Anolis sagrei: one gene and its partner. Each later gene encodes a partner of the first gene's protein in a complex. Links are inferred from orthologs where the notes say so. Each region holds a gene or a part of one and is shown in the gene's direction. Other genes may lie near its edges.

Region 1 (7,842 bases):
GACACAGAAAGAAACAAAACTGGGGGCATAATCCTTGTTGACAGCTGTACTGAAAAGGAAGAATAATTTTTGTGTGTGAAATAAAATCTCTATCCCGATTACAATACAGGAATAGTGACCTTGGACTCCAACGTCCCACTGAAACCAGCAGTACCACTTACCCCCAAGTAAACATTCCCAGGCTTGGCCTACAAATGTCAAGCAGAGGTTAGTTCTTAGAGAAGTAGCCATTCCCCCAGAGCGTGGATATTTTCTGTGAAGTTTATACAGAGAGGCAGTTAATCACTCACATGACGCGTATGTCCAGCTAGCCCCAATCCCTTAAAGCTCTTATTTGCATTTCAGCCCAGATCTTTTTTAAAAAAATTACTGCAATCTCAATAGAGCCAGAAGAAGCAGCTCAAGATGCGACAAACTTGGGCTCCAAAAACACATACCTGATGATGCAAGATTGGTTGTTATGAATTAAATTTAATCTGGCACTTAGAATCATAGAGTTGGAAGAGACCACATGGGCCATCTAGTCCAACCCCCGCCATGCAGGAAGTAAAGCTAAAGGTTTCCCCTTGACATTAAGTCTAGTTGTGTCCGACTCTGGTGGGCGGTGCTCATCTCCATTTCTAAGCCAAAGAGCCGGCGTTGTCCATAGACACCTCCAAGGTCATGTGGCCAGCATGGCTGCATGAAGTGCCATTACCTTCCCGCCAAAGCAGTATCTATTGATCTACACACATTTGCATGTTTTCGAACTGCTAGGTTGGCAGAAGCTGGGGCTAGCAGTGGGAGCTCACCCCGCTCCCTGGATTCAAACCGCCAACCTTTTGGTCAGCAAGTTCAGCAACTCAGTGGTTTAACCCGCTATGCCACCAGGTATCTTTAAGCATGAATAGATTTTGGAATATATGAGGAGTCCTGGAACTAAACCTCAGCGGATACCAAGGTCCTTCCCGCCGAAGCAATACCCATTGATCTACTCACATTTGCATGTTTTCAAACTGCTAAGTTGGCAGACACTGGGGCTATCAGTGGGAGCTCGCCCCCGCTCCTCGGATTCAAACTGTCGACCTTTTGGTCAGCAAGTTCAGCTCAGCGATTTAACCCGCTTAGCCATTAGGACTGTGCAGGAAAAGCACAGTCAAAGTTTGGTGAGGTTGGAACGTTTACCGCACTACATTGCACATTAGCACATTGTTTACCTGCATCACACACAGATTGTTGCCCTCTCTAACATGGTTTACAGGCTTCAACATACCTTCCATAATTCTGTCAATCCTTCCAAGTAATTCCTCTTTGCCAGATGGTCTTTGACTAGCAGGGAAATGATACTAAAGCACAGCCTCCTGTTTCCGCAGGATCAGTATCGATGGTTTCAATTATCCTGATCCATCAAAATACATCCTCTCTAGGCATTTTCTAAGTCCTCCTCCAGCAGGACTGTGTGGTATTCTTGGGCCAGAAGTCCTTCAATTCAACAGAATTGGATATGATCCGTATTTTTTGCATATCCATGCAGTCTGGAAATGTATTTTCTGTGGATACAGCAATTATATAATTTTCATCATCTTTCACCAACATCTTTCTAGAGCCTACTAGGTGTTACAGCCTGGATTCGAATCCTGCCCAAGAATATAGAAACCAAGGAGGGAGAGAGAGAGGGAGGGTGGCCAATGGGACATGTTCTTTCTGGCATGGCATTCATGTGATGCTATCTATGGTCATTTCACTCAGGTGTTTCAGTTCGCTTGGACTTGATTTTGGATGGCGTGATTTTAATAACTCTTTTAAAATAGTGTTTATCAGTGGGTTTTAATACAAAAGTTATTATATTATCGATGTGTAATTTTTTATGCTTTATGTCTAAATGCTCTTTTATGTTTATATTTTAATTTGGTTAGGTTTAATTCATAGTTATGTTATTGTCTTGCTATTAGTATTTTGGTTTTCACATGTATGTACAGCATGTTGCCTTTATAAGGCTGGAAACCGCTTTGAATTCCCTTAGGACAGCGTTTCTCAATCTGGGGGTCAGGACCTGGGACGGGGGTCACAAGGGGGTTTCAGAAAGGTTGCCAAAGATCATCAGAAAACATATATTTCTGATGGTCTTAAGAACCCTTTTGACAGAGAAGGCTGAAGATCTCATCGTCTGTCCTTCTCTTCCTTTTTAGAAACAGACTGCGAATCCTCCCACAAAAAGCCCCCCTCAGCTGTGATTGACTGGCCTCTCAGCCAAGGGAAGAGCTGTTTCTGAGACTTCAAGAGGGGAGGGGAGAGCAGGCGTGCTTGGCGAATGGTGTGCATGTGTGGGCGAGGGAGAGCGTGTGAGGCTGAAGGGAGGTTTGCACCAGCAAGTACCTTCAAGGTATGGGGGTGCTGTGTGGGAAGTTTGGCCCAATTCTATCATTGGTGGAGTTCAGAATGCTCTTTGATTGTAGGCTATAATTCCCAGTAACTACAACTCCCAAATGTCAAGATCTATTTTCCCTAAACTCCACCAGTGTTTACAGTTGGGCATATTATTTGTACCAAGTTTGGTCCAGATTCATCATTGTTGGAGTCCACAGTACTCTCTGGATATAGGTGAACTACAACTCCAAAACCCAAGGTCAATGCCCAGCAAACCCTTCCAGTATTTTCTCTTGGTCATGGGAGGTTAGCGTGCCAAGTTTGGTTCAATTCTCTCAGTTGGTGGAGTTCAGAATGCTCTTTGATTGTAGGTGAACTATAAATCCCAGCAACTACAACTCCCAAATGTCAAGATTGATTTTCCCTAAGCTCCACCAGTGTTTACAGTTGGGCATATTGAGTATTCGTGCCAAGTTTGGTCCAGATCCATCATTGTTTGAGTCCACAGTGCTCTCTGGATATATGTGAACTACAACTCCAAAGCTCAAGGTCAACGATATCAAACTCTTCCGGTATTTTCTTGTTAGTTGTGGGAGTTTTGTGTGCCAAGTTTGGTTCAATTATGTCAGTTGGTGGAGTTCAGAATGCTCTTTGGTTGTAGGTGAACTATAAATCCCAGCAACTACAAATGAGAAAATAAATTCCCCTCAATGCCACCAGTATTCAAATTTGGATGTATTGGATATTTGTGCCAAATTTGGCCCAGTGAATGAAAATACATCCTGCATATCAGATATTTACATTACGATTCATAACAGGAGCAATATTACAGTTCTGGAAGTAGCAAGGAAAATAATGTTATGGTTGGGGGTCACCACAACATGAGGAACTGTATTAAAGGGCCACAGCATTAGGAAGGTTGAGAAACACTATGCTAAAGATTATGCAAAATTCCAAAATTGGAAATACTCCTAAATCTGAAATAGTCCACATGAGTGACTGAGATATTGGTGCTTTTCCTTTCTGATGGTTCAGTGTACACACACTTTGTTTCATGGGAAAAATAGTTAAAGTATTATATAAAATCAACTTAATTTTATGGTTGAGGGGTTATCACAACACGAGGGGGTATTAAGGGGGTTGTAGTATTAGGAAGAGTAAGAAACACTGCTTTAGGGGTTTTTAGACCTCAGTGGAGGTGGATGCATGTTGCTGTTTGGACTTTAGTAGAGAAGTATGACTTTCAGACTTCAGTGAGTATAGCTATATTTAAAGACTGTGGACAATTGACTAAGTATCATACTTAAGAGACCATATCTTATCTAACTGAACTCTAATAAGAAATGTGCCTGTGTGGTGAATATATACAAGAAGTTTGTTAGTAAACCCAAAATGTTATTTTCAAAGACTACTTTGTTTTGTCTCCCGAGTGCATGTTTTAAACAAGAGTTTTTGTAAGGGAGAGTAGATGGGCAACTTCAACTTCAAAGAAACAGCCATCCTCTGCTAACCAAATATATTTTTGTAATTGCATGTCTTTATCCTTGGCTATTTAAAGACATGGTTCTTCAGTTTAACAGCTGAGTTATTTGTGTGCCATTACACTGCTTTTTCTGCCAACCTAGCAGTTCAAAAACATGCAAATGTGAGTAGATCAATAGGTACCGCTCCGGCGGGAAGGTAACGGCACTCCATGCAGTCATGCCGGCCACATGACCTTGGTGGTGTCTACAGACAACGCCGGCTCTTCGGCTTAGAAATGGAGATGAGCACCACACCCCAGAGTCAGACATGACTGGACTTAATGTCAGGGGACTACCTTTACCTTTTACACTGCTTTAGGGAGAGAAAAGTGAGATATAAATGCAGTCAATAAAGAAGTACATGCTCCCAGAGCACCTGCCAGCTTGGGACCCACCCTTGTTTACTTTCTCCCAGAGATGCAGTATCTCCCTTTGTAAGGCTTTGCTATTTCATCATCTCACTTTGTCTCCTTGGAGGAGGAGGAGGGTCCATGTCCTTCCCTTTCTTCCCTTCAGAATTGGAACCCAAAAAGACTGGGACTCTTCCTTTCTCCTCTCCCTCTCCACCTGACTGGGAGGCCTGGCTGCAAACTGGGAGCGACTGGGCCAGCAGAGCCCTCTCTCTCCCTCCCTCCATCCTCCTCCTCCTCCTGGAGAGCAAGCCTCCAATGGAATGAATGGAATATAAATAGTGTCCAATGGGTGCTTGGCTTGGGCTGGATATATAAGCGGAGGGAGGGCGGGGGTACGGCTCCATTCGAGGCAGGTCTGTCTGGAAGAGCAGCCGGGTTCCTCCTTCCTTCCACTCACTCACTCACTCACCCACTCGAGGAGGCACAAGTGCGCCGCTTTTGTCTTGCTCTGACCCTCTCGGTAAGTGCTGGGAGGCAAGTCAACCAGGAGTCTTGGGGAGGAAGCCTATCATTTCCAAGGGAGAGCCAATGACCTTGCGATGCTTGCTCTTCTTCATGCCAATGTGCTTTGGGGTTTTGGAGAAGGGAAGGGAAAGGATGCCGAGAGTAACCAAGGCGTGGTGAGTTGGGAGACAGAAGATGCTGCTGCTCTTGACTCTCTTCCTGGCTCTGAAAAGCAAGAGCAAGACCACTCTCGTTCCCATTCTTTTGCCTCCTGCCTGCAGGGCTCAAGCTGCCTCCTTCTCCCATCCCTTGGCCCCGAATTGGCATTTAAGCAGGGGATGGGTTGGCATGATCCTCCTCTGCGCCAAGCAGAGAGGAGTTTCGTTACATAACGGGAGCGCCCTTTCGTTTTCCCCCTTCGTTCCCTCCACTTGGAGGGCGAGCGCGAGGAAGAGATGGAGTGGCCATCTTCCCCAAGGATGGGTGCAAAGGGAGCCGAAGCTTCTCAGTGGCTTGCTTTCCAGAGCCAGCCTTGCCCCAAGGACTTCCCTATCTCAGTCCTCCCCTAGAGAAGGTGTACCTTGCAGGGAAATTCTCCCCCTCTCCTCCTATCTGTGCTTTCCACAGCATGGTTTTTTTTTTCCTTCTCCTGTCAGGAGCGAAACTGCAAGTCGCTTCTGGTGTGAGAGAATTTGGCTGTCTGCAAGGACGTTGCCCAGAGGATGTAGCTGACAGGTGGGAGCTCAGCTCACTCCCTCATTCAAATCGTGGTGTGAGAGAATTGGCCGTCTGTAAGGATGTTGCCCAGGGGACGCCCGGATGTTTTGATGTTTTTATCCTCCTTTTGGGAGGCTTCTCTCATGTCCCGGCATGGGAAGCTGTAGCTGACAGGTGGGAGCTCAGCTCACTTCCTGGATTCGAACCCCAAATTGCAAGTAGCTTCTGGTGTGAGAGAATTGGCCGTTTGCAAGGACGTTGCCCAGGGGATACCCGGATGTTTTGATGTTTTTGTCCTCCTTTTGGGAGGCTTCTCTCATGTCCCGGCATGGGAAGCTGGAGCTGACAGAGGGAAGCTCACCTCACTCCCCCATTCAAATCGTGGTGTGAGAGAATTGGCCGTCTGTAAGGACGTTGCCCAAGGGACGCCCGGATGTTTGATGTTTTTATCTTCCTTTTGGGAGCTGTAGCTGACAGATGGGAGCTCAACTCACTTCCTAGATTCAAACCCCAATATTGCAAGTAGCTTCTGGTTTGAGAGAACTGGTCGTTTGCAAGGACGTTGCCATCCTTGTGGGAGGCTTCTCTCATGTCCCTGCATGGGAAGCTGGAGCTGACAGAAGGAAGCTCACCCCACTCCCCCATTCAAATCCTCGTGTGAGAGAATTGGCTGTCTGCAAGGACGTTGCCCAGGTGACGCCCGGATGTTTTACCATCCCTGTGGGAGGCTTCTCCCATGTCCTGGCATGGGAAGCTGGAGCTGACAGAGGGAGCTCAACCCGCTCTCCTTGGATTCGAACCCCCAACCTTTAGTCAGCAGTCCTGTGGGCAGAAGAGTTTAACCCATTGCATCCTGGGGGGCTCCTGGAGGAAGAGCTTGGATGAGTCAAAAGGAGTGCGATAGAGGAGGCATGGGCAAACCTGGGCGGCTGAGGGGGAAAAGGAAGGGGCCTGAGGCTGTTTGGAATGGTGGGAGTTGAAGTCCGAAACACCTGGAGGGCCCAAGTTTGCCCATGCCTGCGATAGAGAGAGGTATCTCCCTCCCTTTGCCTTCCCCTTGGGCTGTTTATCAGGATGCCCGCCCCATATGTGCCTTTGAGCCCCCAGAATGTCCCTCAGATGCCTTGGCTCTCAGTCTTGAAGGAAAAGGGAAGGAAGGAATGGAATGGAGAAGCCAGCCGTGCGCTCTTGGCAAGCAAAGCGCAATGGGAGAGTCTCCACCCCACACCCTTCCTTCCCTTGGGCTGTTTGCAGGGATGTCAGATCCACCTGCTTTAAAGGGACCAAGGAGAGATTAGAGGGAGGAAGATTGGAGAGAGAGAGGGAACCCTCCTTGGCGCATTCCTCACTGCCAATTTTGCCCAGGACGCATCCATCCCCAACCGGCTTCTCCGCTCTTGCAAAAGCGAGGAGAGTAAGTGAGGCTGGGCTTTGGAGGCAGGAGAAACCAGGGCGGGTCCCCTCTCTCTCTTCCTCTCCTTTTCTGTGGCACCATCTGGCCAGGAGGAAGAGGATGCAAAAGAGAGTGTCCAAGTTTGGGCTTCAACTCTCCAGAAACAAGGGATTCCAGAGCCACCCATCCTTTTCCAAAAACATGTCTGCTCCCTTGCCTTGAAGGTGACCCTTTGGGACCAAGGAAAGGAGGAAGTGGGGCAAGGCTCAGAGAGACAGAGCTCTGCCGCTTTCTATTCCTGGCCTCCTCTTCTCTCTCTCAAGCCAGGCTCTTGACCTTGAGCAGATCCCTCCTGCCGGTCCCTGCTGTGTGGCCCTTCCTGGTGCCAAGAGGAAGAGGAGGCGGAAGGGGAATGTTGGCCCAGTGCCTGGCAATCCTCAGGTGCCGGGCGGGGAGAGTGCCTGCCTGGGCAGGTCGCAGTACCGGAGACAAGGTGACCTTGCTGCGAGGCCCAGCTCCCATCCGCAGCTCAAGCCCACAGCTAAGCTTTCCCCTCTCCTCTTCTTCTCCCTTCTTAGCTCCTTGCAGTCAGGGGCCCGCCATGCCATTCTCAAACAGCCACAACCTCTTGAAGAAGAACTACTCCGCCGAGGATGAGTACCCAGATCTGAGCGCCCACAACAACCATATGGCTAAAGTGCTGACCTTGGAGCTGTACACCAAGTTGCGGGATAGAGTGACTCCAAGCGGATTTTGTGTGGACGATGTGATTCAGACTGGGGTGGACAACCCAGGTAAAGGATGCCGGGGCAGCGGCCCTTCTGTGATCCGGATCTGTTCTCCCTTCATTAAGTGAGGAAGTGCTGCTTTGAAAATGGCATCTCAAAAGACCTCCTGATAAGACCTTCAAGAGGCCTAGCTGCATAATACCCTTGGGCATTGGCCTGAATTGCTGTGAGTTTTTTGGGCTGTATGTTTTGCCCACATCTATGGCAGGCATGCTCAG
Region 2 (8,643 bases), on another chromosome or scaffold:
GGAACAAGTATACCTGCCAACATCTCATGCTAAACAGGGATGTACATAGCCAGACAACATCAGAGTATGTCAAACTGGCAAAAGGTTTTTAACAAGGAAGAAAATACTAGGTAGGAGAGGATGCAGCAGTTTGCTTTTGCCTGATTCTATAGAAAAAGGCAAGATTTTGTCCCCTTCTCTCCTTGCTGCTGAGTTGAATGCAAAGTCTTTATGTAATTTGAACTTTCTTTCCAGCATATGTAGTATGATGAAATAAAAGGAAATAAGTGGGAGATGGAGAGAGAAACTGGACCATTTTTAAAGCATCTGAAAAAGTGGAACACTATGTAACATGATTTTTGTTCCTTGGTTATAAATGTAATTTCCTATTGGTTCTATCATAAAAACATGAAAAATGTTTATAAAACTTCGTTTTTGCGAGATATCCTTTAGCAATTTTGCTATATGTGTTGTCGAAAGTTTTCGTGGCAAGAATCACTGAGTTGCTGTGAGTTTTCTAGGGCATATGACTATGTTCCAGAAGCATTTTCTCCTGATGTTTCGCCTGCATCTATGGCAGGCATCCTCAAAGGTTGTGAGGTAAGTTGGAAACTAGGAAAGTGGGGTTTATATATCTGTGGAATGCCCAGGGTGGGAGAAAGAACTCTGTTTGTTTGAGGCAAGTGTGAATGTTGCAATTGGCTATTTTGATTAGAATTGGATGGCCTAGCAGCTTCAAGGACTGCCTGATTCCCGTCCGGGGGGGGGGGGGGGGGGCGGGGCGGGATATTTTGCCATAGTTTAAAAATGAATATCACCAAGGCTCCTTTTACAATGTTATATAATCCAGATTATCAAATCAGATAATCCACATTATCTGCTTTGAACTGGATTCTATGAGTCTACACTGCCATATAATCCAGTTCAAAGCAGATAATCTGGATTTTATGTGGAAGTGTAGAGGCTTAACCAATTCAACACAGTTTGTGGCAGCCACAAAAAATAAAGCTTCTGGAGTATAACAGCTAATTTCAAAGTAAGTACCACAGAATTAAACAGGAAATAACACTTTCAAACCAGAAACAGATTTCCTCCCCAAGTTTTGTTACATAGTGTAACTAATTGAAGATATGGGCTGTAGGACTAGGAGTGGACCTACTACTCAATGGCTAGACCAGTGTTTCCCAAACACTGGTCGAGATGCTAGTCTTCCAGATGTTTTAGACTTCAACTCCCAGAATCCCTGATCATTTCTCAAGGCAGCTGAGGCTACTGGGAGTTGAAGTGAAAAACTGGAAGACTAGAGTTTGGGAATACTGGGACTGCCTGTATATATAGTGAACATGGGATAAAGTTAAGGTTTCTATGTTACTCATGTCACGGGGACAAAATATACATGCTTAAAGTGCTCCTGTTCACTATTCCGATAATTCAGTGAGGTCCCTTAACTCTCTCCATCATATCTTTCTCCATCAGCAGTCCGCATTCTGTGATCCCTGAACATTGTTCTCAATGGAATATCTCAAAGTGCCCACGTATGGGGTGAAGGACACTACTTGTGGGCTTTACCTTATCACCACTTCTGCAGTCTTTCTGGCTTTATCAATCTGCTAATACACATGGCCAAATAAGCTAGATTTATTTGTGAGTGTGTGTGTATGGTGCTGTTATGGCCAGATAAGAGATAGCATTCTTTCCTGAACATCAAAGAAAATGGTAACTAGAACAGCAGAGAAAAAAGAGACAGAGCTTGGAAAAACTATCTAAATTTTTATGTGTTACTTGTTACTTTATAAGTAACTGTTAATTAATGTTTTACTAACACATTGCTTTTGGGTTACTATTTTCAAAACAAAAATCCTCTTAAAAATAGCAAAATGTTCCCATTGCCCTCAAATGTCCTCAGTGTTTTAGAACAAATATATTAATTAGTTTGATGTTACCAGTTGTTATATCATTACTCAAAGGGCCGCCTTTATGTCAGTTTCTTAAAAGATAAACATAATTCTGACTGGATTTCAAATCCATGGATTCTGCATCTACAGATTCAACCATAGACAGCTTGCATATATTTTAAAAGCCTCAAAGCAAACTTGATTTTACCAGCAAACATAGTAGCTGTAGCAGATGCTTAGGGATCCTTTTAAAGAAAGGGTTATAGTTCTGTGGGTCCACTTCAATAGTCATGGTTTTCTAGGATCAGCATGTTAGAAAGGGGTATTTAGACTTTTCACTCTAATGCCTCAACAAACTACGCATCCCAGGATTCCATGGAATGCAACTGTGGCAGTTGCAGTGGAATCATGCTGTGAGTACCAGGTAGTGTGCCAGGTATGAAGTGGGGGCAAATCATACCCTTTTTTTCTTTAGGTAGGATGGCAGACTGGGATTCACAGAGGTGTGAGCAGCTAGGTCGTGCACTTTAGGCCTATTACAGATGATATATGTATTTTATTTGTTCTGGTGGCTAGCAGATACAGCCATATTTTCTATGATTTCACTACAGTATGACCCCCCTCCCCCTCCATTTGTGGGGGGGGGGGGTAAGTTCCCTGACTTCATGTGGATACACAGAACCACAGATTATAGAGAACCCTATTGTATGAAGGTCTTGGACCAAGAATAGCATAAAGTCACACTGGGGAATCTAGAAAATGCCTAGATGTATTGATAAATGGAACTGGGGGGGAGGGGGCACTGATTTTGTGAATACATGTTTGTACTGCATTGTGTCCAAAGGTTCTTATGTTATTATAGTGTATGTTTACTTGATGCATAGCTTCCTTGGTTAATTAAACATGTGTATACCTAAATGCACCAGATTCCCTCTGATTTTGGAAGCTAAGCAGTCAATGCTAGTTAGCGCTTGGGTGGGAGACCACCAACAACCAAACCCTGATGGCGCAATTGGTTCAATCCTTGTGTGGGCAGGACTGCTGATCAACATGTCAGCAGTTAGAATCCGGGGAGAGCGTGGATGAGCTCCCTCTGTCAGCTCCAGCTCCCCATGCAGGGAAATGAGAGAAGTCTCCCACAAAGATGGTAAAACACCAAACATCTGGGAGTCCCCTGGGCAACGTCTTTGGAGACGGCCAATTCTCTCACACCAGAAGCGACTTGCAGTTTCTCAAGTTGCTCCTGACATTAAAAAAAAGCCCAACCTATTCCAGATACTGTAGGATATATTTCAATGGAAGGAAAGGCAAAAACTGTTCTGAGTATTCCTAATGTGAAATTAATGGGTCACCATATGTTGAAAGCCAACTTGAAAGCACATAAATGTATCCAAGTAGTGGTAAAAGGGGAGAAAGTGTTCAAATTTCAGCTTGTTGGACCAACATAAAACCTACCTTGAGGCATGAAAGAAAGCCTCCTACACCACCAAATTTCCCTCCCCTCTCCCACTCTGATACAGAATCCCAATGATAGATCTAGGGGTATCTATCTCACTTGACCCTTATTGTAGTTTTGCAAGTGTGCTGCTTCAGAATTGATTGATTGATTGATTGTATACATCTTAAGTCTCCTGTAAACTTATGAATTTTATAGGGTTTTCTAGGGCAAGGAATAATCAGATGTGGGGCCCTTTCACACAGCCATATAACCCAGAATATCAAGGCAGAAAATGCCACAATGTCTGCTTTTAACTGGGTTATCTGAGTCCACATTGCTTTATATTCCAGTTCCAAGCAGAAAATGTGGGATTTTATTCAGCTGTGTGGAAGGAGCTGTGATTTTGTCAGTTGTTTACTCTAAAATATACCGCACAGCAGCAGGTATTTGTTGTAAGTCTCCCATACAAGTAGTAACCAAAACTGATCCTGTTTAGCTTCAAATGGGATTTGGTGCCTTTAGGGCATGCATCTAGGCCCTTATGTGATTGATTAGAGTGATAAAATATTTTTTTTATTTCTCCATTTTCTAATTGTGTTTTTGTTCTAATGCTGCCTTGTAATTAATTTGAAGCTAACCATCCTGCCCCAGCATGGGAGATAATGTGTCACTGACATGTAGCATTCTACTGAACTAACCTTGCCATACTGTGTCTCCAGCATCCTTCCAGAGATCCCTTTCTTTTCCTATGGCTCAGCCAAGGTCATGCGCTAGGTCTTTCAATTTCCATTTTGTGGTGTATGGGGAGTTGCTAGCTATCTTCAAAAGGCTGCAAAGTGCATAAGCCTGCTATAGACTTAATAGTTTCTACTTAACAAAATAGCAGTCCTCCTACGAAGAGAAATAAATGAATGGGAGTGTTACCGCTATCATTTTAATGAGTCTCTGTGCTTGAATGACACTCCAACCACATCAGTTATTTCTTGCCTGAGATATTGCATAGGATATTACATACAGTCTGCCTGTCACATTTGCAGATTTAACTTTTGTGATTATTTGAGGATGTGCTTAAGATGTTCTTTTTAGGCATCTCCAAGTCCTTCTGCGTGATTTCACCCATATAGTTGTGACAAAGGACCTAGAAAATTCCTAGAGTAGGTCCTCCAGAGTGATTCAATTTCCAGCAGAGGTTGAGTATTGAGTTGTGCTGGAGGACCTAAAGCAGTGGTTGTTAACCTGTGGGTCGCAGACCACCAGTGGACTGTGAGGACGAAAATCTGGTCCGCGAGCCTCCTTCCTCTTTATTTTATTTCCACTCTTTTCCCACTACCTGCCACTCCTTCCCTGTCGCTGACCGTGGCATATGTTCTGTATCAGAAACTAGAGCTGATATGGTCTATCCAATGCAATTTTCTGAATGAGCACCCCAAACTGAAATCTAAAGTTGACCAAAAACTGATCCGTAACTCTTTTGCTACTAATGTTGGAGAGTGGTCTCTGGTCAAAGTGGTCCCTGGTCCGCTTTGGGAACCATTTGACCTAGAGAGATATTCTCTAAGGGAAGAAAAATAGCATTTTTTAATTTGCAGTTCTACTTTTGTAGAGGTCTTGCATTCCTAAATCCAGAGAATGTGACGGGTCTGACTGTATGGAACAGCAGCTTAATAAAGAAGTGTGCCCAATATTGTACTGTGACTGCTACAGGCCAACCTGACCCAAACTAGTGGTTTTTTGGTTGCTGGACTACATATGCCATCACCCCCGAGCCACATGATGGTATTTTTAATCCAATATGTCTCGCTAATGCCCTGTTGGAGAAAACTGCCATGTGGATTGTTATAGGATTTGCTGAAAACACAGAGTTTGCAACATGTGGTTTCAATATTATCAGCCTTGTATGATAATTGCTTTTCTGTGTGGAAAATAACTCAGTTTGCCATTTCTGCATGCTGCTTTCAAACGCCTGCAATGGTATGTCTTAAAAGCAACTTAATCGGTGATAATGCAGGGCAGGACTCTCCCTTCCTCCTATTTTCCTGCTTTTTCCTCCCTGCCTCCCCCTCTTTCTGTTATATATCCCCTGCAGGCAGAGTTTGCTGAGCTAGTTAAACTGGCTCTTTCTGTCTTGTGCATTTTTTTTTGGCAACAGAGAAGTTCCTCTTTTATAAAAACAAGCAGGCAGACTGTCTGATTGGCCATGAGTTTGGAAAGGATATGACATCAACCACATCCCTCACTTTGTTCTGTGTGCCTGAAATCTTTTTCCACTTCTTTTACTCAGCCAATGAAGAGGTGTTCTGTTAAACTGCAATACCAAGGTATTTGGGTTGCTCTGGACTTGGGTCTGGTATTGATGTTCCAGTCTTCGACCAAGTGTTATTTTAAACCCACCCACAGATTTTTTAAAATAAATCACTCATTGGAACATGTTTGTTTTCCTCAACAGGCAAGATGGTATTTGAGCTTGCAAGATCTCAAACTGTGAAGTGAAATAACAGTATTCAGGCGAGTTGCAATGGAAGGAGCAAATGCAGATTCTCATTCATCCCAAGGATCAGAAAGCCAGTCTCATCATGTACCTTTGCGACCGAATCCATTGATGGGTGGTGAGTAATCTTGCTGTATGTAAAAGAAAGTGTTCATAGTGGAAAGGCCATGGGAGATGTGTTAGGATAACTTAACTGCTTTGTATTTATTTAGAAACTTTGCATGCCACCCTTGATGTTATATCAAGTTGTTTACACCGCAAAGGAATAAATAGTAGCAATGAAATGCAAAAACATACGTGGAGCAGGAATAGAAAAAGTTGTGCGAAGTTGTGTGAAGATATGTTATGCTACCCTTGATGATATATAAGTGATCTGCAGTACAAATTACAGTGAATAAATACAGACAATATAAATATGAAATGCAAAAAATCATATATATATAAAAATCATATATAAAAAGTTACTGTGGCTGTAATCCCTATGCGGTTTTAGCTGGGAAAATGCACCCTTCCAGTCAATAAGACTTAAGTTCTGAATAGACATGCATAATAGGACTGAGCTGTAAAATGCTTAATACAACAGTGGGCTATGCACAATAACACTATAGAGCAGGCATGGGCAAACTTCACCCCTCCAGGTGTTTCGGATTTCAACTCCCACAATTTCTAACAGCCGGTAAGCTGTTAGGAATTGTGGGAGTTGAAGTCCAAAACACCTGGAAGGCCGAAGTTTGCCCATGCTTGCTATAGAGCCTGCTTTCTTTAAAATAAAGCAACCCTGAGAGACATAAAAGTCTGACTCATGAATTGCTTTGTGAAGTTGCCCTGCTGCTAGATGTGTATTTGTATTAGATGGCATGATGTGATGACCAGATTCATAGCTGTGCAATTAGTTTGGGGAAAGGGGGGTTATTTTTCCCAAAACAGTTGGTGTTCCCTTATAAAGGATGTTCTTTTTGCAAATAGGTGATTTGTTGCTTTTTAAATGACATGACTAAATATCACATTTATAGTTTTTTGTGAACTTTTTTTGTGTGTCAGGAGCAATTTGAGAAACTTTAAGTTGCTTCTGATGTAAGAGAATTGGCCGTGTGCAAGGACATTGCCCAGGAGACACTCGGATGTTTTACCATCCTATGGGAGGCTTCTCTCATGTCTCCACATGAGAAGCTGGAGCTGACAGATGGAAGCTCACCTCGCTCCCCACATTCGAATCATTGACCCTTCGGTCGGCAATCTTGCCGGCACAAGGGTTTAACCCATTGTGCCACCGAGGGCTTCTTTTGTGAACTTACCATATATATACATATAGTCAATTCATCAAAGTTGCCTACAAATATTTATATGATAAGACTTCCTATTTACAATATTAAAATTCTCATCACATCTAATTGTGATCCGCACTCTCTCATCTCTGGACTCTGTGGTAACTTTATGCACTCTAGATATGCCTTTTTTTCTCTTTGTGTCAGAAGTGACTTGAGAAATTGCAAGTCGCTTCTGGTGTGAGAGAATTGGCCATCTGCAAGGACGTTGCCCATTGTGCCACCGGGGGGCACCTTCTAGATATTCTGGAACCCTACAGTCATTATCCTCAGCCATTATATCCATGTCCAATGACCTTGCTGACTGGGGATGCTGGAAACCCCAGTGAGTAGAAGAGGACTATTCTGTAGTCATCCTCCAATGTTGACTTTGTAGATTGCAAGGTATTTGGGAAGATATCTGTTTTGCTTCTATAAAGAAAGTACCGTTATACACAGATAGTCCCCCTTATCTGCAGGGGACATGTTGCTAGACTGTGTAGATATGTGAAACCACAGATAATAGACTACACTGATGGTGTCTTTGTCAACATGTTAAGTCTGTAACATCAATACAAAACAAAACAAAAAAAGACCTTTCCATATTGGGGCTCATTTCGCACTACATAGTGGTTTCACTTTAGCTACTGTGACAACTTCCCAAAGAATTCTGGAACATGGAGTTCAGAAAGCGGTATCTGACTCTGGAAGGTAAAGGTAAAATTTTCCCCTGACATTAAGTCTAGTCGTGTCCAACTCTGGGGGTGGTGGTGCTCATCTCCATTTCTAAGCCGAAGAGCCATTGTTGTCCGTAGACACCTCCTGACTGCATGGAGCACTCTTACTTTCCTGCAGAAGCAGTACCTATTGATCTACTCACATTTGCATGTTTTCAAAGTGTTAGCATGCAGAAGCTGGGCCTAACAGCGGGTGCTCACCCTCTCCCTGAATTCGAACTGCCAACCTTTCGGTCAGCAAGTTCAGCAGTTCAGTAGTTTAACCCACTGCGCCACCCTTTACCTTGGAAACCAGGGTTCAAACAGCTGTTCACCCATGAAAACCCACAGGGTCCCATTCTCTGAGCCTCAGAGAATGGCCATCGCAAACTCTTCTGAATAAATCTTGCCAGTGATAGTGTCACTTTAGGGTTTCCATAGGTTGGAAACAACTTAAAGCCATACAGCAACGATTCCAAATGTAGAATGGGACTTTCTAACTTTTATTTCACTTGGAGCTTTAAATTTGTTCTGTTATGATGTGATTTAGGTGCATTTTAAATTTTACATTTGTACCCTGCTTTGAGGAGCCCCTGGTGGCAGAGTGGGTTAAACTGCTGAGCTACTGAACTTGCTGACCAAAAGATCAGCATTTCAAATCCGGGGAGTGGGGTAAGCTCCAGCTGGTAACCCCAGCTGCTACCAACCTAGCAGTTTGAAAACATGCAAATGTGAAGAGATCAATACCACTCTGGCAGGAAGGTAACTGCGCTCCATGCAGTCATGCCAGCCACATTACCATGGAGGTGTCTATGGGCAACGC

What was found. The genes of interacting proteins can lie anywhere in the genome.
Region 2: the proteins of CKB (region 1) and ASB9 are in contact, whole or in part, in a cryo-EM structure (PDB 6V9H), measured with the Homo sapiens proteins. The link is inferred for Anolis sagrei from reciprocal best matches to the Homo sapiens genes CKB and ASB9. Residues at the interface, in NP_001814.2 of Homo sapiens: Asn63, Pro64, Gly65, His66, Pro67, Tyr68, Ile69, Thr71, Arg130, Arg132, His191, Val198, Ser199, Pro200, Leu201, Leu202, Leu226, Trp228, Glu232, Ile238, Met240, Asn286, Arg292, Gly303, Lys304, His305, Glu306, Lys319, Arg320, Gly321; in NP_001026909.1 of Homo sapiens: Leu25, Asn27, Pro28, Leu29, Met30, Gly31, Asp32, Ala33, Val34, Ser35, Asp36, Trp37, Pro39, Glu42, Ile45, His46, Trp60, Ala67, Asp68, His69, Glu75, Ala100, Asp101, Trp102, Val111, Asp133, Leu134, Ser165, His166.

The regions. Positions count from the first base shown.
Region 1 is NC_090021.1:327,580,888-327,588,729, forward strand, and holds the start of CKB (creatine kinase B-type), read left to right. Parts: upstream 1-4,602; 5' UTR 4,603-4,742; intron 4,743-7,414; 5' UTR 7,415-7,437; coding exon 7,438-7,630; intron 7,631-7,842. UniProt on the Homo sapiens protein: Reversibly catalyzes the transfer of phosphate between ATP and various phosphogens (e.g. creatine phosphate).
Region 2 is NC_090023.1:90,862,440-90,871,082, forward strand, and holds the start of ASB9 (ankyrin repeat and SOCS box protein 9), read left to right. Parts: upstream 1-5,411; 5' UTR 5,412-5,630; intron 5,631-5,758; 5' UTR 5,759-5,827; coding exon 5,828-5,918; intron 5,919-8,643. UniProt on the Homo sapiens protein: Substrate-recognition component of a cullin-5-RING E3 ubiquitin-protein ligase complex (ECS complex, also named CRL5 complex), which mediates the ubiquitination and subsequent proteasomal degradation of target proteins.